Linked DNA regions of Caenorhabditis elegans. The protein of the gene in region 2 purifies or fractionates together with the protein of the main gene of each other region. This does not show direct contact. Each region holds a gene or a part of one and is shown on either strand. Other genes may lie near its edges.

The links.
Region 1: the proteins of atx-2 (region 2) and dhs-28 purify together in Caenorhabditis elegans (affinity purification with mass spectrometry, with the first as the bait; one large-scale study listed by BioGRID). This does not show direct contact.
Region 3: the proteins of atx-2 (region 2) and ule-3 purify together in Caenorhabditis elegans (affinity purification with mass spectrometry, with the first as the bait; one large-scale study listed by BioGRID). This does not show direct contact.
Region 4: the proteins of atx-2 (region 2) and acdh-1 purify together in Caenorhabditis elegans (affinity purification with mass spectrometry, with the first as the bait; one large-scale study listed by BioGRID). This does not show direct contact.

What each region holds. Positions count from the first base shown.
Region 1 is NC_003284.9:6,816,287-6,820,943, reverse strand, and holds dhs-28 (Ketoreductase domain-containing protein), read right to left. Parts: upstream 2,507-4,657; 5' UTR 2,500-2,506; coding exon 2,226-2,499; intron 2,177-2,225; coding exon 2,108-2,176; intron 2,061-2,107; coding exon 1,789-2,060; intron 1,747-1,788; coding exon 1,281-1,746; intron 1,235-1,280; coding exon 1,101-1,234; intron 1,051-1,100; coding exon 955-1,050; 3' UTR 864-954; downstream 1-863. Other genes in the region: gei-15 (GEX Interacting protein), read left to right, coding at 1-199, 372-457, 507-621, 668-743; atg-2 (Autophagy-related protein 2), read right to left, coding at 4,247-4,489, 4,585-4,657.
Region 2 is NC_003281.10:10,459,345-10,467,606, forward strand, and holds atx-2 (Sm domain-containing protein), read left to right. Parts: upstream 1-2,044; coding exon 2,045-2,380; intron 2,381-2,428; coding exon 2,429-2,720; intron 2,721-2,843; coding exon 2,844-3,105; intron 3,106-3,424; coding exon 3,425-3,598; intron 3,599-3,652; coding exon 3,653-3,888; intron 3,889-5,111; coding exon 5,112-5,471; intron 5,472-5,524; coding exon 5,525-5,746; intron 5,747-5,981; coding exon 5,982-6,391; intron 6,392-6,528; coding exon 6,529-6,843; intron 6,844-6,950; coding exon 6,951-7,242; intron 7,243-7,697; coding exon 7,698-7,910; intron 7,911-7,959; coding exon of another isoform or gene 7,960-7,967; coding exon 7,968-8,068; downstream 8,069-8,262. Other genes in the region: ecps-1 (Proteasome component Ecm29 N-terminal domain-containing protein), read right to left, coding at 62-289, 426-569, 616-740, 795-905, 964-1,085, 1,134-1,206.
Region 3 is NC_003283.11:10,792,078-10,795,958, forward strand, and holds ule-3 (Uterine Lumin Expressed/locailized), read left to right. Parts: upstream 1-1,720; 5' UTR 1,721-1,730; coding exon 1,731-1,908; intron 1,909-1,952; coding exon 1,953-2,105; intron 2,106-2,161; coding exon 2,162-2,784; 3' UTR 2,785-2,847; downstream 2,848-3,881. Other genes in the region: D1054.10 (DUF1525 domain-containing protein), read right to left, coding at 32-176, 268-526, 571-733; D1054.19 (Ragulator complex protein LAMTOR5), read left to right, coding at 3,723-3,866.
Region 4 is NC_003279.8:6,495,343-6,500,454, forward strand, and holds acdh-1 (Short/branched chain specific acyl-CoA dehydrogenase, mitochondrial), read left to right. Parts: upstream 1-2,093; 5' UTR 2,094-2,110; coding exon 2,111-2,285; intron 2,286-2,331; coding exon 2,332-2,432; intron 2,433-2,739; coding exon 2,740-3,183; intron 3,184-3,232; coding exon 3,233-3,329; intron 3,330-3,374; coding exon 3,375-3,520; coding exon of another isoform or gene 3,521-3,566; coding exon 3,567-3,704; intron 3,705-3,939; coding exon 3,940-4,122; 3' UTR 4,123-4,218; downstream 4,219-5,112. Other genes in the region: uri-1 (Unconventional prefoldin RPB5 interactor), read left to right, coding at 1-147, 205-552; C55B7.3 (Protein-tyrosine phosphatase), read left to right, coding at 4,688-4,700, 4,750-4,856, 4,950-5,112.

The DNA.
Region 1 (4,657 bases), on a different chromosome or scaffold from region 2:
TCGCTTCTTCTGTTTTCTCGGATCCATCGTACCGTTTGGATACCAAAACCGGATACCTTATCACCAATCCTCGGGAACTGATTCATCAATTTGCAACAATGACTCCAGTGGCGACTATTGACGACAGTGTCAATAACACACCAGCCACCCATATCACCCAAAAACAAAGTTACTACAAGAGAACCGAGGAGACCACTGAGTAAGTTTTTTAAACCTTATTCATAGTGCTTAATTAAAATTTTTGTTGAACCCTACGTCCATAATGTCAATTATGTCTGGTGTCTGATGGACTAATCGCAAATTAACTGTGAAAATAGTTTTAGGAATACATTTAAAAATAATAATTTTAAAAAATCAATCTTTTTTTTCAGAGAACAATTCGCGCCACATGCACCATACAAAGCAAATCATCCCGTCGCTTCTCCCAACAAATTTGTCCGCCAACTTCGAGACGATAGTAAGCGCTGTCTCCAAATACACTTCAAAAAAAATTATCAATATTTCAGACCTAACCCATAGCCAACGCGAAGCCAACACCCACACTGAGCCAGTATACCAAAGAGATCCAAATTACAATCAACGATTCCAGGAGATTAGAACCAAATCTACATCCTATTCCAGGTAATTAAAATGCTATAATATTTCTACAGTAAAGAAAAAATTACAGAGGAGGAGATGATATTGACCAACTTACTCAACAACTTGTCAGTGGTATGCACTCCGGAAAATCACGATACAACTGAACCCATATTTCTTTTTGCTAATTTTTTTTCATCGTTGTAATTACGACTATAAATTGCCATACTCTTATGTTTCACCCAACCGCCACCCCCATCACCAGCTTCAATATTTGGTGTCTCTGATGTCATTGAAATGTTTTATTAAATGTACTCAATATCAATAATTAATCATTCTGACTCAATATAATTTACAAAATTGAACGCTTCTGTCTGTTTACAATTTTGACTTCTTCGCCTTTTCAAGAACGGTTTGAAGTTTCTGAAGAAGCATTACGTTTCCCTTCACTTTCAGTTTTCCGCTCATGAATGCCTGTAAATAATGGTTTGTGGAAGATTAGTACTATCAGTGCCAGCGTATACCTTTTGAGCATTCAATTTTCCGGCTGCAATGTCAACAAAATCGCTATCAGCAACAGTGACCGTCGCGTTAGCTTTTTCTCCGTTCTTTACATCACCCAAGTACACGGATGGAGATGCACTTTTGAAGTCAAGAGCTGAAATAATACTAGTTTTAATATAATTGACGCATCAAAAACTAACTGAATTTTCCAAGCTCGTTCTTTCCGTCAGTGATGATGTAAAGGACAATCGATTTCAAAGTTTTTACTGCAGTTGGGTCAGCCTTCACACCATCAGCCATTTCCTGGAACAGTGCACTACTCCTGATGTTTGAGGGGAAAGCACCACCAGAAGAAGCACCAGAAGAAGCACTGCTACTTCCAGATGAAGCTTCGTGCTCTTCCAGGATTGAGACAAGTCTAGCACTCTGCTCAGTGATGGTTCCGATGTACTCGGCTCCGTTCATGTTGGTGATGGTTGACCAGTTCTTGGCAATGTCATCAGCTGATGCGTGTGAAATAACCTTTCCTTTAGATTTGTAATATTGAATAGTTCCGTACCATCCAGCTCCAGCTTCAAAAACTTTTCCGGACTCTTCGAAAGAATCATGCACCATGTATGTCACGAGTGGGGTGACATAGTCTGGTTTCAAAGCATCAACGAGATTCTGTAAAGATTTCCGTTATAAAAAAATCATTCTTCAAAATACCTGTGGCATGACAGTCTCGGTAAGTCTAGATCCGGCTGTTGGGACCAGGGTATTTGCCAAAATGTTGTACTTTGCACCTTCTTGGGCGAGAGAGTTTGACAGACCAATGAGAGCACTTTTGGCAGCAGCGTAGTTGGCTTGTCCAAAGTTTCCGTGAACTCCGGCATTGGAAGAGGTGACCACAATACGCCCGTACTTCTGATCTCTCATGTATGGCCAAGCGGCTTTGGTGACAGCATAGGCTCCCTTAACGTGGACCTTGAAGATAAGATCTGAAAATTGAGCAGATTTATTTTATTTTTTGAAAGCTATTACAAACCCCAATCAAGCTCGGTCATCTTGAGGAAAGAAACGTCACGAAGGATACCAGCGTTGTTGATAACAATATCTGGAACCAATTTCAAATCCATCAGTATTCTATTATCAAAAAACTGTACCAATTCTTCCAAAATTGTCGATGGCGGTTTTTACGATTTTGTCTCCAAACTCAACGCTGTCATAATTGGCAACTGCTTGTCCTCCAGCTGATTTGATTTCTTGAACAACCTTGTCAGCCATTGATGAAGAGGATGAAGTTCCATGTCTATCTCCTCCAAGATCGTTTACAACAACTTTGCATCCTCTCTTGGCAAGTTCAAGAGCATATGTCTTGCCAAGACCACCTCCAGCTCCAGTGACAATAGCAACTTTTCCGTCAAAACGAAGAGACATTTTGTTTCTAAAATGAAAAAAAATAATTTGGCAACGACTATACAAAACTCAATAAAAGAGTTTTAAAAAACACAAAATGTAGGAAGAGAGAAGAAAAGGTAATCAACTGATAGAGAGGAATGGTCATTGATTATATACATGACTACGCTGTGGTCTTCTCATGTCTTCTATTACTGGCAAAGTGTGGGCAAGAAAACGCGCGTTGCGTATGATAACGGTACACTCGAGTCGATTCAATTGATTGTGTTCGAATAAGTGACTACAAACAATTGAACCATTGCAAAAAAAACTGATCGAGTACCATAGATAACATGAAGCAATAACTGTCGCAGTTAGGTATAAATATTTTTTAAAAAAACCTAGAAAAACTTTACGACAATCTATAAACTATTTACAGACAATAACTGTGATTCTGTAATGTTCACTGGTAAATATTTTAGAAATATATGAAACAAGATTTTTTTCAAAAAAAGTTTAAAATGATAAAAATGATCTTACAGCGTAGAAACAAAACTTGAATTTAAAAAACCTCAAAACCAGTCAGCTTTAGATTTGAAATTATGGAACACACATTAAAAGTAAATTCAAGCATGGTGAGATTTTTAAAATGAAGTTTTACTATGTTTTTAAAACAATTTTGCGATATCAGTTTTTGATTTCTTATCCTTAATCTTTTGAAAATGAAACTAAAAAATGAAACAACTTTAGTTGAAATCCAAGAAAGTCTAATAACTTAAAACCATCTTCGTTGACTTTAACCATTAAATGTGGACTGTGGAGAAATTATTATATACCAAAGATGAAATGATTTTTTTTAAATCATAACAAAACTTTTCAAAAAAATTGGGAAAATGTATTATTTCGAATCAAATAGCAGTGAAAACCCAGCCTTCACAATTGTTTTTTGACAATCGTCGATAAATAAATTCATTACAGTTTTACAAATTAATTATTTTTAAAATATTCATATTTCAACATTTTAGGGGGTTGAACAAGCGACAATGTTTCAGATTTCTCCCAATAAAAACAAGCATAGTTTTTATCGCTTTTTGACTCGACATAAAAAGTCGACAATCGAAAACTTTTCGAAATCCTAAAAAACACGTCATCAAAACTTTCTAACTGAAATCTTATTATTGAGGAGTAGCACATTCTTAATAAACTGACGTATTCGGAACTGCATTTTTTTTTCTGTTTTTAATGTTAATGTGAATAATTCAAAAAAAAATTCCAAGATGACATTCATTTAAATTTTCTGACTTTTCAAAGTGAATAAGCCATTAACAATTGACATAGAGTGCAGCGAGAGCATAAGGGATATCCAGTGTAATAGATGCAGTAAGGCGAATGTAGGGTACAAGTAAAAAAGCCAAATCTGACAATTAAAGAAACATAGCAATTAGGAGGGGGAACAAATGAAAAAAAAAAGAAGACACTCACACAATCTCAAAACCAGTTTCTAGAAAAGTTATGAAAGATGAAAGATGAACAATGAGGCGAATTACCGTGTAATATGTTTCGAATCAAATGAGAATGGGTTCAAGCACGACACTGAAAAAAAGAAGCGGTTAAGTAAGGCAGTTGGGAAAATACAAATGTACAAAAAAAGAAAAGAAAAAATAACCAAAAATGGAGGAAAAAAGAAAAAAAATGAAATGCTGAATATATTTTAAAAAAATCTAACAAAAGTGTACAATTAAACACATTAAGAAGATGTACAATTATCAAAAATTGGGAGGAAATCCGATTACTTATTCACACCTCCGGGTACATCTTTTTCACCCCATTTTCGACGTTCGTCTTGATAAGTATCAGGACGTAGTTGGTTGCGAAGTCCTCCCAGTAGTTGGTACGTGACTTGAGTAGCCATAACAATAGGTCCCAGGAACGTTGGAACAGCGTAACGGAACGCACTTCTGACGACGGAATTTCCTGAAGCCCGGTCTTCCTGAGCAGCGAGTTCCAGATCATCTCTCGTCTGATGATACCCCTGCAAAACATTTATGATGGTAATTGGAATTTTTGAAAAAACAAGTACCCAAATAATCTACCATACAAATAATACAAACTGAAGAGAAAACTTACATCATAAAGAATTCCGTAAGCGAGTTGCAGACTATGGCGGACATCTGTCGGGTTCATACCGTGATTTCTGTTG
Region 2 (8,262 bases):
CAGTGAGGGTAAATGTGCGTGTGCCTTTAAATTTATGCCGATTTACGTGATGAATCCTTACTCGTTCAATTTCGAAGCGGAAGCCACGACCATCAGCGGAAAAGCAATGTCATCGGTGAGCAACTCCTTTCCCAACACCTTCAGAATCATCACCTTCGTCTCCGTCAAATTCAGCCCCAGCGGGAAGACTTTCCGCCCAATTTGAACAAATTCGTTGATGCTCAGCGCTGGGAGCTCAGGAGCCGACGATGCTGTGGGAAGCTTCTCGACGAGCACTTTGATGTCCTCACTGAAATAAAATATTAGAGTTAAAGCAGGCAAAGTTCGTGAAGATTTCGGCATGAAATATTGTAAAATTAACAAAATGCTAGGCATGTTTCAGATTAAAACCAGGAAATTCGCTTCTGAAAACTGAAATTACGTACATGCTTCGTGCAGAGAACACGAGAATCGCCTGAAAGCATCTGGCAATGATTTCCACGTCGACAGAGCTCATCTCGATCGTCGGCCAGTGTTTTTTCTCGATTCTCGCGAGCTCGTGGAGTCCCGGCAGGCACAACGAGAGAATGCTGGAAAAAATTATATAGAAAATATAAATAGTTCTACTTTACTTACTCGTAAATGTAATTGAGATCATTGGGCTTCTTGCTGAACGATGTCAAGTATACAGGCAGAAACTCTAGCTGCTCGGCGGCCTGGATCCGGTCTTTTGCCATTTTGAGATAGATCAGACTGAAATTCTGGAAAAAATATTAATTTTTTGGGTTATACATCGTCTGGAGAACGCTACAAACCGATGAAATGGCACTCGGGCCTTGGAAAAGTTCGAGCAGACGTGGCACTGGGAGACGGATCGCCAAATTGCTCTTGACGACTTTGTTGAAGTGTGTGAGAAATTCGGTGACCTGGAATCACGAATTTTAGTCATTTTGAATCAAATTTCAGCGAATTTTTGCGTCTTACCAGCTGAATGTGCTCCTGCTTTCTCCCGGCAAACTCCAACACATCGCACAAGTGCCGATCTGTGATAGTTTGTAGCTTGGCGTCCGAGTTGGCGTTGACGAGCCGCAGGAAGACTCTTTCCACTGAAAATTTCAAGTTCATTATGTAAATTAGAAGCTAGACTAGCTTACCATCATTTGCTGAGTCGAGAGACGTCAGCGAAGCTGATTCTCTGGGAGCATCGACTTCCATTGGGCTTTCCATGCTGAAAATACTAAATATTTAGCGTTTTACGAAGAAATTAACGTCGAAAAATGAAGAAATTACACTGAAATTGCTAAAAATTGTTCAAAACAATACGAGAAACTCGGTTTTTCCGCAAAAAGTAAAATGTTCTTGAATTTATTCCAAAATGTCATCAAAAATATTTTTATTTTCAGTCTGCGTCTCTCTTCATCGTGTCAATGGGGCGAACTTGACAAGAGACGTCACAGAACCTTTCTCTACAGAAATTTGAGTCTTGAAAAAAAGACCGAAAAACAGGGGAAATTTTTAAATATTTTTGATGAGCGATAAATTTTAAATTGAGAATTAGTTTTGTTTATTTCAAATTGTATTATCGACAAAGTGTATTGGAAGATAGCGCAGGGAAAGAATTTCTCCGAGTGGGAGTTTCCCCAAAATCTGTGGTGTCAAACAGATAAATATTTCCCAATCGCGAAATTTTGCACGAGAAATGTGGTACCCGGCAAGATAATTTTTTGTCAAATGAAAAAAGTGTGTGCTCCTATGAAGAAATGTCCTATCTTTCTTTTAAGAACAAAATCTGAATTTTGTCAGACCTAATTCAATAAATTGCGGATAAACTTTTTGATTTGGGGAAAATGCTTTTATTCATTGCCCAAAAACTCAACTGTTGAGGCGAAATGTTCATGTTTTACCACTTTCCTTGGAAAAAATCCACTAATTCCCACTATATCGACTTTCCTGAAAACCCCACTGTGTAAAATGCGCGCGGCACACTTGCGAAACCCTGTGCGGCGCACTTGCATAGGGCGGAGTCTCAGGCAATCCCGACGGAAATCGGCGCGTCATTTACCGCATGTGCGTGTCCTCCGCTGTCTGCGTGCTCTCTCGTCTCTCTCTCGAACGTTTTTCAAATTTTTCCGCGAATTTTGTGGATAATTTTCTTCTTGTGGCTCGTTTTGCACGTGGTGAAACCTTGAAAAACGGGATTGTGTTGGAAATTTCAAAAATTTGCCCAAAACTGTTACTCATATTAAACTTCCATTATCGTTGCGAAATTGCTGTTTTTAAAATTCAAATTTTTTCCATTTTCAGGTACATTTCTCCTGTACCCAAACTCTTTGACTGCTCCACAGACAATCTTCTATTTATTTATATTTTATTTGCATCCAAAGTGCGAATGAAAGAAATGGTAAGCGCTGGCAACTTGAAAATTTCTTTAAAAATACAATTTTTCCAGTCAACACCAACGGGTCTTCCTGCGCTAAATGGCGATGTGTTGAGCGCCATCAATGATATGATCGGACGTGTAATTATCATTAATACTACGGACAAAAAGCGATATTCTGGGGTGCTGGGCGCCGTGTCTCAGGATTTCGATTTCGGGATGCAGTGCGTCGTGGAAATTACGAAGGAGAACGAGAATAACTTGCTGAGAACAGAGTCGGAATGCAGAGACAAGATGGTATTTCACTATAGTGATATTGTCGATTTTGCGTACGTTACGCAAGAGATCAAGAAGCAGCATGCTGGTAAGAGCTGTTTCAGGGAACTTTTTCATTAAAAAAAATGCATGACATCTTTAATTTTGGGCCAAGTCGGGTTCACAGTTACGATTTTTAATCCGAAAAAGCTGAAAAACTCTCCATTTTCAGTCAGCAAATTCGTCACCGATAGACAATACCACGGAGATACTCCAATCGAGGGCGAAGAGCTTCAGGAATGGAACGGAGGTGAGGAGGACGGACTCGGAGGATCCATTGAGGACGACGTCGTCGTTGCTGGTGGACAAACCGCCGCTCGTCGCAGCAACAATCACAACAACGGCACCGGATGGTCGGTCAACGACATGTTCGCCGCCAACGAGAAGATGAACGTGGTGTCGACGTTCAAAGAGGATTTAACGCAATACACAACGTAATTTATTTGAATTTTTTCGCTTGAAAAATCCAGGATTTTCGGAGTCTGCAAGCGTTTTTGGGCATCTGAATCTATTTTTTTCAGTTTTGCCTTGAAAAAATCTTGTCACTGAACCATTTTTGCAAAATTTTGCATAAAAATGTCCTGAAAGTTGATAATTGACAATTTTCAGGTTATTTTTAAGCATTTTTTCGAATATTTCTACCGAAATCAGTGTTATTCTCTGATGGATCAAGTGCTTTCCTATATTTTGACCCGATTTTTTAATTTTAATTTTGGAAAACATCGTGCAAAGCAATAAAATCCCAAATTTCAGCGTCGAAGTGGTAGGAACCGACGAAGATCGAGCACGCGCCGAGCGGCTCGCTAGAGAAATTGAGTCCAACTCGTCGTCGAAGTTTATGGCGAACTTGGAGAACGACGACGACGAGCGAGATTTGGACAAAATCACGCGTCAAGAGGATTTCGAGAATGGCAATGGCCGAAAGCGGTTGGAATTCTTTAAAAATTTGAATTTATTAATTTAAAAATTTATTTGTTTCAGCAATAATAACAGCTTCAACCAGCAACAACAACAGCGCCGCAATCCGAATATTGCACCAAACGGGCAGCCAGTGAATCGACGTGCCGAGGGTCTTCGCGGAGATCGTCGTAATAGTGGAAGCTCTTCAGCGAACAATAGTCGCTACGGTGCTCCAGCAGCGGCTCAGCAGAACTATTCACAGAATCAGCAGCAGCAGCAAGGTCAAAAAGGTTATCGCCGCCAGAACGAGGAAAATGGTTCGTGTACATTCCCGAGAGTACAGTGTGTCTCTTTGATCATTATCTCTCTCTCGTTCTCTTTCTCCGCGTCCAACAGTTCTTTTTTCGGTGTATTCCGTTTTCTTGACCCATTTCGCATGACATAATTTCGCTAGCGGCTGCAGCGGTTGTCTTCAGCTGATTAATTGGAGTGTTTTTCCTCGTGGGATGCGGAAAAAAGCGATTTTTTTTTTGCAAATTTTCAGCAAAAAAATCAGATTTTTCCCATCAGAAAACCAATTTTTCATTCTTTCCTCACATTTTGATCACAGAAATACGAAATAATTCTGCAATAGTGTTATTTTCAGTGGAAAAATCGTTTTTTTTTCCGATTTTTGACTGAAAAACGTTTTCTTTGTGTCAGAAAAAACAAGTAAATGCCGATTTTTAAGTGAAAACGCCGAAAAAAAAAATTGAAAAAATGACCGAACGGGTCCCAGTTTATCCATACAAACACACCTGCGTCTCTGATACATGCTTTCATCAAGTCTCTCTCTCTACCTCTGTCTACCTCTCTCTCTCTGTCCGCTTCCTCACCGCTTATCATCTTCATCATCATCATCACAAGTTGGTTGTGTTCTTCTCGAAAAACCGTGTTGTCTATGTTGTGTACCAATCGATCGTTAGGGAGGCGCCACACTTTCTCTCTCTCTCTCATTCCTTTCCGCTCTCTTTTTTCTCGGTGATTTTTTGTTGTTGTGTGTGTGTCTGAATGATGATGAAACATGCGATCGTTCATACCTTTTTTGCCTCCTTTGCAGCTTCACCAGTCCTCAGATCCTTCTAGATAATGGAAATTCCACAGTTTTCGAAGTTTTTAGTGTCTTTTAAAAGAAATCTTGATTTAAATTCCTCTTGAAAATCTGTCAGAATCAGATCAAGAGCATTTTGGTATAGCGTTAAAATACTGTAACCGGTCTCGACACGACATATTTGTGTTTAATGGTATGCACCTTTAAAGAGTACTGTATTTTCAAACTCTTTTTGCTGCGAAATTTCTGTTTTTTCATAGTTTCATATGAATATTCCACAGCAACAAGAGTTTGAAATATTTTTTCAAGGCGCCCACCCTTTTGCATTAAACAAGCTTGTCGTGCCGAGACCGGGTAACGTATTTTTGGTAAAAATTCGATTTTTGATTCCTTAGAAAACAATTTCCGTCGTTTTTGTTTAAACAATGACTCATTCTACTTAATTTTCAGACTGGCAGATGGCCAAGGGGAAGGGCCAGAACCAGGGCCACGACCACTCGTTCCGTCAACAGCAGAAGCAGATGCTGGATCCGAGACCCAACAACAATGTGAAGCCGGCTGACGATAAAGCTCAATCTGCCACCACTGCCACTGCTGCTGCCGGTGGATCCCGTGTGACAGATCTCAAGAACTGGGGCAACGAGTTTTCGATTGCGACGGCTCCAAAGGATCAGGCTCCGGCGGTGCCAGCTGGAAACTCGGGTAGTGCCTGGAATCGCGGACCACCGAGCTCGCTGGTTGCCAAGGGATCATCAAATGAGTCGACTCCACCACCGACAACCAATGGAGAGGAGGCTGAGACTAAAAAAGGTATCTATTTTCTATTTTTCTCAACAAAAATGAACAATTTTGCCAATTTCCAGAAGAAGCTCCATCCACAAGCGTCGATGTGGCAGCTGCACCAGTGCAAAACGTACAGAACGACGCGGAAAAGCATCAGGAAGACGACAATGTTTCCGTTACTTCAGAGAATGATTCAGTGATCACTTCGAAGTCATCGTCGTTCAAATTCAACATCAATGCTCCAGAGTTCAAGCCACGTGTGGCTCCGGCGACTCCAACAGCGACGACTCCAGTGCAAAATGGTAGGAAAACGAACAAAACGGCTTTTTTTCAGTATTTTTGTATCAAAAATTAATACAGAAATGTATGTAGAAAAAAGATAATTTTTGTTGAAAGGTTTGAGAAAGATCTCAAATTGTGTCATTTGAGAGGGAATTTTTAAACCAAAATAAATATTTTTCTAAATACACATAGGTATCAATTTTTGATACAAAAATTTTGGCTGCCAAGACGGAGTTTTAACTCTAAAATTTTCAGAATATCATCCACAACAACAGCCACATCCAGCAATGATGGCTCCACAACAAGGACCACCTGCTCCTGGAATGGGAATGGTTCCACCACACATGGGCGGCCCACAAAATCAAGGTCAACCACCGATGATGATGTGGCAACAGACTGGACAACAGCAACAAGGCGGTGGCGGCTATCCACAGAATCATCAATTCCCAATTCAACATGTCCCAATGCAAGGTGTTCCTGGACAGATGTATGGCCCGGGAGCTGCGACTCCGGTCACTGTTGCTCAGCAGCCAAATCAGCAGCATCAGGTGCCAACCAGTGCGGCTGGTGGTCAGAATCATCAGTTGAGAGATGGAGAGTATCGTGAGAAGCAGCCACTCTACATGCCATATGGACCGCCACAAATGGTTCCAGTCACATCTCAGGTAACCGAAAATTTGGAATATCCCTGTAGAAATAGGGAAAACATTTATTTTTAAAGGCCTTGAATTTTTAGAATTTTAAACTTTTCCTAATCTAAAATTCCTGATTTCTCAATTCCAAAAATTCTAAATTTTTTCAGCAATTCTATCATTCACAGTACCAAGGCCAGATGCAGCAAGCTGCTCCATACCAAATGAAGATGATGCCACAGCAAGCTCCACAGGGTGCCTATCAACAGAGATATCAGCAGCCACAAGTGTACATGATGCCTCCACAGGGTCAGCAGCAGCAGCCGAGATACCAGGGTCCTCCACCACCACAGCAACAGCAACAGCAACAACCGCAGCAACAACAATTCTCCGGAGAGCAAAGTCGCCCACAATCACATCCGAATAGTCAGCCAACGACTCCGGGACCACGTGGCGAGTTGCCAAAGATGAGCGGTGCTCCACAGGTGAGATTTCTTTTTTTTTAAACTTATTCGCATGTTTCCCTCTTTCAAACTTTCTGTGCCTAATAAGATGAAGCTTTTCAATATTGTGACCGTGACTCTATTTTCAGAACGGAAACATGCAGGCCGAGTCGAGCAGCAACGCTAGTCACAGCGGATCGACGAGCTCTCAGTCGGGACAACGAAGCGGATCTCCACCAGGTGCTGTTCCTCCACCACCACCACCACAGCAGCAGCATCAGCAACAACAACATCCACCACATCATGCTCCTCCACACGTCGGAGCACCACCACCACAGATGATGCAGCAGCAGCAGCAACACATTCAACAGTATATGGTGATGCAGGGACCGCATCAAATGCATCCGCAGATCCCTAATTACTATCAGCAGCCTCAGGCATGTTTAATCTCTCTCTTTCTTTCCTTTTTTCAGTGGTATTTTTGATTTTTGGTTTTCTTGTTTTTTTTCCTTTCTTTCAGAAGTTTCAGAACAAAATTGTGATTGACTCTGCTAAATTTTTGTAGATCTGCAAGTTCTACAGCTGAAATCGCCCAGTGAAAAAGGAGAAAAAATTGCCTAATGTTTTTTTTCATACTTTTTTTCTTAAAAATAGCGAGAAAGTTTCGATTCCGACTGTAGAACTTGAATGTGCCCAAATCAACGAAAAATTGGCAAATTTTAGCTGAGATCTCCTATTTCGGCAATTTTTCTGGATAGATTTTTTTTTTGAATTGAATTTTGAGATTTTATTTAAAATTACCATTTTTTGAGAAATATTTGAAAATGTCTCACACTCTATAAAAGAACAAAACCGAGAAAAAAACGTAAATCTAATTTTCAATCATTTTCAGCAAGTATTCTATCCGATGATAATGCCCCAACAGATGCCAATGCAACAGAACCAACATCCTCAACAAAGTCTTATGGGCGAGCGATCTGATCAAGGATTCCCGACGTCGGGATACTTTGACTACCGTACAATGCCAAACTATCAGCAACAACAACAACAGCAACAGCAACAAATGCACCGCCAGAATTCGCTTCCACAGCAGTTCCAAGGCAATCAAGGTAATGTTTTAAATGTTTATAAAGTTCAAATTTCTAACCGTTTATGAAGCTTTGAAGGTGTAAATCCATCTGGTCAACAATCTGGTCCACCACCACCGCCACCACCGTCTCAACAAGGCACACCACGTGATCAGCAGCACTCTCAGAGCCCCCCGTAATCATATCTATATGCGCTCTTCCTGCGCTTTTCAGTGCTTTATATAATGTTTCCCCAATATATATTCATTTTAATATTCTTATTTTCTTCCTTCTCTTCCTTCTTTTCATCAAAAATCCGCTTCTCCCCCCTTCCCCCATGCCACCATCTACAACAACCACAAAAATCTCGTGGAATTCCGAAATTCCGTCATAA
Region 3 (3,881 bases), on a different chromosome or scaffold from region 2:
TAAAGAAGCCTTATAAGAAATGTCAATTATTTTAAAGATGGAGTCCGGCTGCCTGCAGAGGGCCAACAATTCCATTAACTATAGCTACCGCAGCTGTGTCGTTTTGAGCAACAGTAATACAAGCGAGTGCTTCGATGCGGGCCATGCTTCCAGTAACCAAGTTGACAGCTTCATACCTGAAAATAACGAGTTGAAATAAGTTATTAATTGAAAGTGTTGTAAATAGATGTTCTGAAATAATTTTATAAAACTCAAAAAATCACACACCGATCATGACGTCTGTTGCATTTAAAAGTCAATCCAGATTTGCTGCTTGCTGAGAGAACTGCATAGTCTCTAGTTTGAGTAAAGTCTGGTGAAGCTCCTCTTGATTTTCCGACAAGAATTTGAATCTGTGGATTTTCGCACACAGCAATTGCGTATTCTTTTCCATTACGATTGAAATAAGCAATCTTTGGAGCAGATAACAACGGGTTAGTTAATGGATTTGGCGAATTGAAAACACCAAGACGACGACATTCCCATTCTGGAAATATAAATGGTTGAAATTTAGATATCGTAAGTACTTACTCTCATCACTGTCTCTGCTGTTGCTACGAGAGTGATGACTGCGATGATGTCGATCATGTAAAACGTGGAAGTTATTATGATTATTGTAGGTGATGTCGCCGCCGTATCCGCTGCATGCAATCACTCCAAAAAGAGCGGAGATAGCTAGAAGATTCAGATGCATTTTCGGAATCGAATATGATAAAAGAAATATGGTGACACCTTTTATATAGCGTTTCTAGGCTCATGATACATTGAGAAATGTTTTGAGAATGAACCTAGTTTGTTTATATTAAAACATAGATACAAAATCTTGTCTCAAAAGAAAATTGATGACATCACAACAAAGAGAAAAAAGATGATTCATGAAATATAGTTAACTTCTGGAATAATGTGTGGAAAGTGAGAAGCGGGTGTCGACAAAATCAGAAAGTACAGAGCTTTAAAAAAATTTAAGGAATTAGGTATAATGATAAATTAGAGATGAAAATGGTACATTTGCATTAGTTAGTTACTTAGAAACTGGAATTTTATTAAAATAGTTTTTGTTTTTTATTGTTTCTCATGAATTAATTTTGTGGCTTCTAGGTGTTTATAAAAAATAATTGTCCTCAATAGGAGAAATAATTAAAAGTTTAGTTCAGATGCTGAAACCTATGAACCCATTAACACCACAAATTTCGTCATTACATCTTCAAAAAGGCTGAATTTGAATGATGCATGCGAATGGCTACGCGGGATATAAAGTTTGAAATAATTTTCAAGCAAAGTTTCTTCATTTTCTCTGCATTTGTTTTTCAATTTATCCTCTTATGCCACTGTATGTACCATTAACTACGTCTTCCTTCCCATCTTTATCCATCTACAATGTTTCTATATATTATGTTTCAGTTATTAGATTCTGGTCTCCGATTTTGTAAAATGCTCTAACAGACTAATGTTTGAAAAATTAAGTCTTAGCCAATCGCAGTGTGTATAAACTCTGAAAACTATCAGACATACAGTTTGATATTATTCATTTTATTTTCATTCGGATATCCGTCTGAATAGAATTGAAACTTTTGGAAAAAACAAAATTCGTTCACAAAACATCCATCTTTGTGACGTGATGTTTTATGTTTTCCCTCTGATTTCTTTCTATAAAAACCTTTACAACTCCACAAAGAACATCATTCACCAAGATGTTAGTTGTTCTTGCTATCTCTTTGGCAGTTACCGCAGTTTGTGCTCAATACGGATCAGGACCAGCCAATAATCCACCGGCTTCTTCCTATTCATCAAATGTTTACTATCCACCTCCGGTTTATGGATCAGTGTACTGGGATTACGATAGTGGAAGTCGTGAACATCGTCATAAACGTAAACCGTAGTCCATTAATAAATAAACATCTTACCAATTTCAGAGTGCCCACGTTTGAGAGCATATGTGGGTGAGTTCCCTGGTATCCCTGAGGAAGCATTCTATCCACCAATCATTCGATATGTCAAATACAACAGAAAAGTGACTGCTCTTGTTGTCTGTGATAGAGATGAAAAGAATTTGAACTTCCTTTTCGGTTAGTTATCTCGAACTATTCAAAGTAGATTAGTGATTGTATTTAACTATATCCAGCTCGTCACAACAAAACTCGTGATGTCCGTTCTGCCAGTGTTGTCGCTATTGGAAGCACCGCCGGTGTCACTCTCGTTTGTAATCGCGATGACAGAAGATATGAGGGATTTGTTATTGATATGAATGCAACTACAAACGGATTCTCTAAGAAAATCGAAATCACGCAACTCACTTGTCTTGGACTCGACAAAACTATTATTGGTCTTCCTGTGGAACACGGAGTACAACAACTGGCGCAAAAGATTCAGGAAATTTTGGAAGATGACTTCTTCGTTCCAGTTATTCCGTCGAGAAGGAAGAGACAAGCTGGTGGAGCAACTGCTAACAGCGCTGAATCCACGACTGAAGCAGCTGACACCGAATCCACAACTGAAGCCGCTGCCACCGAAACTCCTGCCGCCGAATCTACCACAACTGAAGCTTCCGCTACTGACGCTGCCGCCACCGAAGCTTCCGCTACCGATGCCGCCGCCACCGAAGGTGCTGTCACCAAAGCTGCTGCCGGAGTTACAGAAGAATCAGCTACGGAAGTGATCACTGTAGCAACAACACCAGCTTCACCAGATGCGGCGCTTAATAATGCTATTAACGAATTGGGAAAAATTCTCGGTCAAGTTTTCTAAATGCATTTCGATTTTAATTGTTTAATATGTCAATTGATTATTGAATAAAAGTCAATGAAAGCTAAAGTTATTTATACAATTTTCAGAGAATGTAAGAAAATTATAATATGACCACTAGAATCATTTAATATTCGGACCTAACTTCGTACCTAATTTTCGCCCGAAGGAAAAAATCTTGGTTAGGTAAAATATAATAGACCTTATATGTACTTGCGATCGCAGCAATAGCTTTTCCATTTTCACCAAAAGTTTTCTTGAAGATTATCAGCTTTTTAATGGTCGCCACCGGGGAAATGTTAAAAATGCCTCTTATAGTGCGAAACTGCCTAAAAGAGATAGAACAATAGTCTACATTTTTTTTGAATTCCCATTTTGCCACAAAGTTGCCTGAAAATTTTAAGTTAGCAAAACGATATTGAATAATTTTTAGGTAAAATCTACATATACTGAGAATTATGAACTTTTAACCGTTTCATTTTTGGACAAAATATGGTCGCGTTTAAAATTGAAAAATTAAAAATTAATATTCACAGCTATTATTATTTTAGATTTATTTGTAAATAATATGCAACGTTCTCATAAAATATTAAATCAATACGACTATATATTTTGCAGTCATTGATCACCTTTTAAAAGTTATCTTCAAAATGTTTCATGAAAATGTGATTGTTGTCTTCTTGTAGCCAAATGTTAAATTCACAGCTGTTTTTTTGAAGGAGGTCAACTCAGCCGACGAGCCATCGTCTTCTCTCCATTTTTGTCCTTCTAGGTAAACACGAGGCAAACCACAGTGGAGAACATAAGAACAGATAGACGATTGAAGAAAATTTCTTTTTCAAATGCGTTGACGGGTTTTTTCAAACTTTTTTGTTTTTCTCTCTCTCTCCAAATTCCGAACACAACTGTTAACCTGATAACGAATATTTAATTTCAGCCCAATGGGATGCATCTTGTCTTGTAAAGAAAAACCCAAAGCAAAGTTAAATCAAAACATAAACATACCAACGCAAATTCGGAGGACAGATACATTTCCACAAGAGATGGCAGAGATCAGAATGCAGGCCAAACACGTGCATTTTTCGGTTAGTTACTTTTAT
Region 4 (5,112 bases), on a different chromosome or scaffold from region 2:
GAAGAGAATCTTAACAATAGTGTAGAAGAACTCGACTCTGATGATTATGCATCTGATGATAATATCGAGAAAAGCAATAATTCTGACCAACAACTGAAATCCAAAAAGATAGAGACCCAAGTGATTAAGGTCGAAGAAATTGTTGAGGTAATTTCAAATACTAAATAGAAACAATTCACTATTATTTTAACACACAATTTTTAGGAAACCGTAACAAAAACCACCGTCAAACGGAAAAAATCGGGAGTTCGATTTGCGCAACAGCTTGAAAATGTGAAAACATTCCATCAAACAGACACTGTCGAAATCAAGGAAGAAGATTCAGTTATTGAAACCAAATCAATTCTCCGGAGCACTGAACCAACACCCGTTGATCGTTCAGCTCTCGAACCCGAGCAAAAGGAACTTGCTGCGATGAGCACAATGACATTTCCAGGAGAAATTGTTGAGAAGAATCCGTACGAGTGTGAGCCGTCGACAAGCAGAGACCCCGCTCCCGTCATCACCGAGAAAAAAGTTTCCAAATTCAGAGCTTCCAGGCATAGAAATTGATCTTTACTTTCTAATTTCTATATAATTTTCATATCGTTCAGCTATATATCATTTTATGCTCACTGTTAAACACTTTTGCCACATTGGTCAACATTTCCCCCGTAGAATCTCTTTTTCTGTGTTTGAAAACTAACATTTAATAGTTGGCAGCAATTATCACGTTCCCATTGTCATTAAAGTTCTAGTATATTTCAAAAATAAAATTAAACAGTTTCAAACATTGCTTTAATTTCAAAACTAAAGATGGATTTCTTTCCTGAACAGTTGGTCTGATCACATTAGGCTGAAGAGACTAAACCATATTCGCAATGGGAGTATAATGTGCGCATATTGTGTTATCTTCCTTCGCTCCATGGCGAATCAACTGTGAACCAACTCTACAACAGACTCGGACACAAATCGATAGTTATATAAAATTTCGCTGTTTGAACGTTGCCATGGGGGCAATTTTGGATTTCTCACAACTGATCTAACGGGAAGGAATCAAATAAACTGAAATTAACAGTAAAATTTTAAATCAAAATATCTCGGAGCTCTAGGGTGAATAGAAGCTGGAATTTTAGAGGAATTCACTAGAACCTTCTACTATCAGATGGTACTATTGTCTTTTGGAAGTAAAGAGTCAGGTGAAAGAACTTTCCTTGTAAATGACTATTCGTCCAAAATCATATTACCGATTTCAGCATAGCTACAGTAATCCTACAGTACCTGCATTTCATACATTAAAGGCAACATTTTGAACTTTAAAACCTATATGAAACATTTATCAGAACAAAGAGAATATGATCAGAGTTCACAATAAGATCTGAGACATAAAACATGTTTCTGATAAGAATTATTTTGCAGATAGTTGCCGGGATGCAAGATAATAGAAAAAGTGAAAACAATTGTCTGAAATTTAAATGTATTGAAAAACAAACAATCTTGAACAATTGGGGAAGTAAGGCTGATTTTAAAAGTCAAATAATTAAAGTATTTTGAAAATCGAAAGCTAACTTGTCAAGTCACCTCAAACCAAGGGAACGCTATTTTTTCCAATGATATTTTAGAACAATAGTTGATAAAAACTTTTGAATTTTAAGAAAATTTTCTGAAAAAAAAGGTTCTTTAAATTTATTGAACTAGTTAACTAGCTAGTTCAGTTTACTTTAAAAATCAGAATTCATGAATTCCATCAGAGCTAAAAACCAGCAGTAGACTTTTCTAGCGGATAATTTAAACAACGACTTCAGATCAAGAATCGAAGTCTTTAATTTTTATGGAGAAATTTTTAATTCAATTGAAACCTGCCGAACCGAAAGATCTTTTTTGTCATCTTTATGAAAACACATTCAGTTTCCGAATTAAATATCCTTCAGCAATATTCCAGCCCTAAACGTTCAAATGACAAATAAAGATTTAGTTGTCCACATATTGAATCAAGAAATAAACATTTTCAGGCCCAAGGGGTCTGTGACCACAACGTGATCTATGATGTATAAGTGGGTGTGGCTACTACTACAGTACTACTCCTTATAAAAACCTTCCATCTACCACACTAATTACTTTCACCTTCACAATGTCCACTTCTACTACTAAAATTCTAAAACAAGCAATGAACATCATATCTACCATCAGAAGCTCGTACAGTACTGCAACCGCAGTTTCTATTTCTCGACATTGTGAAGATTTCACAGGAACCCCTCCACCGGTAAACTTGCTAACTGAAAATGAACTCTTCTTTGCGGATACTGGTTTGTTTTAAATTTATTTAAAGAAGTTAAAGTTTTACACTTTCAGTTCGTAAGTTTTCCAAAGATGTTGTAAAGCCATTAGTCAGGGAAATGGATAAATACTCAAAAATGAGCCCGATTGTGACGCAAGGTGTATTTGAAAATGGGGTAAGTTAATTCTTATTACTTAAATTTTAATGTTATGGAAAAGGGGTTTATATTTACACTGTTTATTATGAAAACCTAAAAAAAGTATAATAAGAAGGAAGATTGATAAATACTTTATAACTTTGTAAGGTAACGTTTCAGTAAAATCAATTTCATGGAAATATCCAAAAACTTTTGCATTAAACACTTAACTTATTTAACTAATTATGCTATAAAAATGAGAAAGTTTTAGATTGACTTTTCTAGTTCAAAACGATTGTAAGCAGATTTATTTATAGACCTGTTAAGAAACGAAAAAATCTTCCAGCTAATGGGTGTTCATGTTCCTGAAGAATACGGAGGCTCTGGATCCTCTTTTTTCAATGCAATGATTGTCATTGAAGAGTTGGCAAAAACTGATCCATCTGTATCTGCAATGGTTGGAATTCACAACACCCTCCCTGTATCAATGATTATAGATTATGGAACAGAAGAACAAAAACTAAAATACTTGCCTCGTCTCTGTTCTGATAGTCTTGCATCCTTCTGTATCTCAGAATCAGGTGCTGGATCCGATGCATTTGCATTGAAAACTATTGCAAAACGAGATGGAGATCACTTTTTGATCTCTGGAACTAAAATGTGGATTACTAATTCAGGAGAGGCACAGGTTTTTGTGGTATTTGCAAATGCAGATCCTAGCCAAAAATACAAAGGTATCACATGTTTTATTGTGGAAAGATCAGCGGATGGTCTTACTGTAGATAAGGAGGTATGTTCAGTTTTTAACTTTAGAGCAAAAATGAAAAAAAAATTTACAGGAAGACAAACTTGGAATCCGAGCTTCATCCACTTGTCAAGTTCATTTTGACAATGTTCGTGTCCACAAATCAGCAATTCTGGGAGAGTATGGAAAAGGTATGAGATTCTAGTAAAATCAATCAATAACTTGCATGTTTCCAGGCTACAAATACGCAATTGAATGCCTAAATGCAGGTAGAATTGCCATTGGAGCACAAATGATTGGACTGGCTCAGGGTTGTTTCGATCAAACAATTCCATATCTTCAACAGAGAGAACAGTTCGGTCAGAGACTTATTGATTTTCAGGTTATTTTTGAAATTGGGTTTGAATTTTTGATACACAAATGTTCAGGGTTTACAACATCAGATTGCACAAGCTAGAACTGAAATTGAGGCCGCACGTCTACTAGTGTATAATGCTGCCCGTATGAAAGAATATGGAATACCATATGTACGAGAAGCTGCAATGGCGAAACTGTTTGCATCACAGGTAATTTGATAAATTGTAGAAACACCACAGGCACAGAGCTCGTGCTCTGATCTAATTGTACATGTTCTAGAGTTATAAATGATTATCATAAAATAGAAGCTCATCATCGGAGCTTTATATAATGAGCGATATTATTTTTTTTCAAATATTTCATATCAAAAAGTATGTCTTAGAATCTGAACCGTTGTGAAATGAATATTCTGAAAAAAATTCAATTGAATTCAAATGTTTCAAGGTTGCAACATCAACATCAGCTCAATGTGTAAAATGGCTCGGTGGTGTTGGATTCACAAAAGAATTTCCAGCCGAAAAGTTCTATAGAGATGCAATGATTGGAGAGATTTATGAAGGAACTTCCAATATTCAATTGAACACAATTGCCAAATTAATTGATAATGAGTATAAATGGAAAAATTAATTGATTCGCCTTCCGTTGTATGCTTTTTGTAAATTTGAAAACGTATTGATAAATCTAAAAGTTGAACAATTTTGAATAAAACACAAGATTTTTACAGAAACCTGATGTAGGTGCACTCGTATCAACTTACTTAATTCAATCTCCTACCGTACATCCCACCCTCACAGTTATATTTCTTATCACATATCGATGGAGACTTGATGTGACTCTGAGACTGCTCCAATAGTATTCTGTACTGCTATCGTCCAAACAAATCTCAAAAGTATCTGAATGTATCACTCGGTTCTCAACAAGTGTTTGCAATTGGTGTATACACTGGTGATAAATCAGGAAACGCAACTGAATACTTGGAGCAGTTATTTTTGAAAGGTACTTTAAAAGTTTTGACCTTCACAATTTTATCTCGTGAAGAGCGTGAAACCCTAAATACATGAGTTTTTGAAACGTATTTCACGTAGTCTTACCCCCTCTCTATAAAAGCAGTAGATTCATTAGTTTTTCAAATTATTACCGACTTTGGTAAAGTATTGGTCGCAGTTCTTAACAACTTCCGAAGCAATTTAGCATGTCGAAGATGAGTAAGTTACTATGAAAGTTCGAGTATGCCAATCATGTAAATTGTTTCAGAACGGCGTACAAATAAGCCTCGCGCTACAGAGAGTGCAAACAGCAGCACCAAATCGTCTGTGCTCGATGAGCCAACACTGGTTGAGCGGAAACAACAAAAGAAACAGGTAAACTATTTTGATTTTTGAAAATATAAGGAGCCTCGCAGTACATCACAAAAACTATCATACTATCTCCCATTAAATATAAATCTGTTGCAGATCTTGAAGTTCGTTCAACGTACACTGGAAAAGATGCCGCAAGGGCTTCGCGCCGAGTTCGTTGGGATGAGACGCTTCAACGATTTTGAGAAAATGAAAGCGTTCAAAGAAGCTCAAGAAGCTGGAAAGAACCGCTACAAAGACGTTGGATGCCTTGACAACA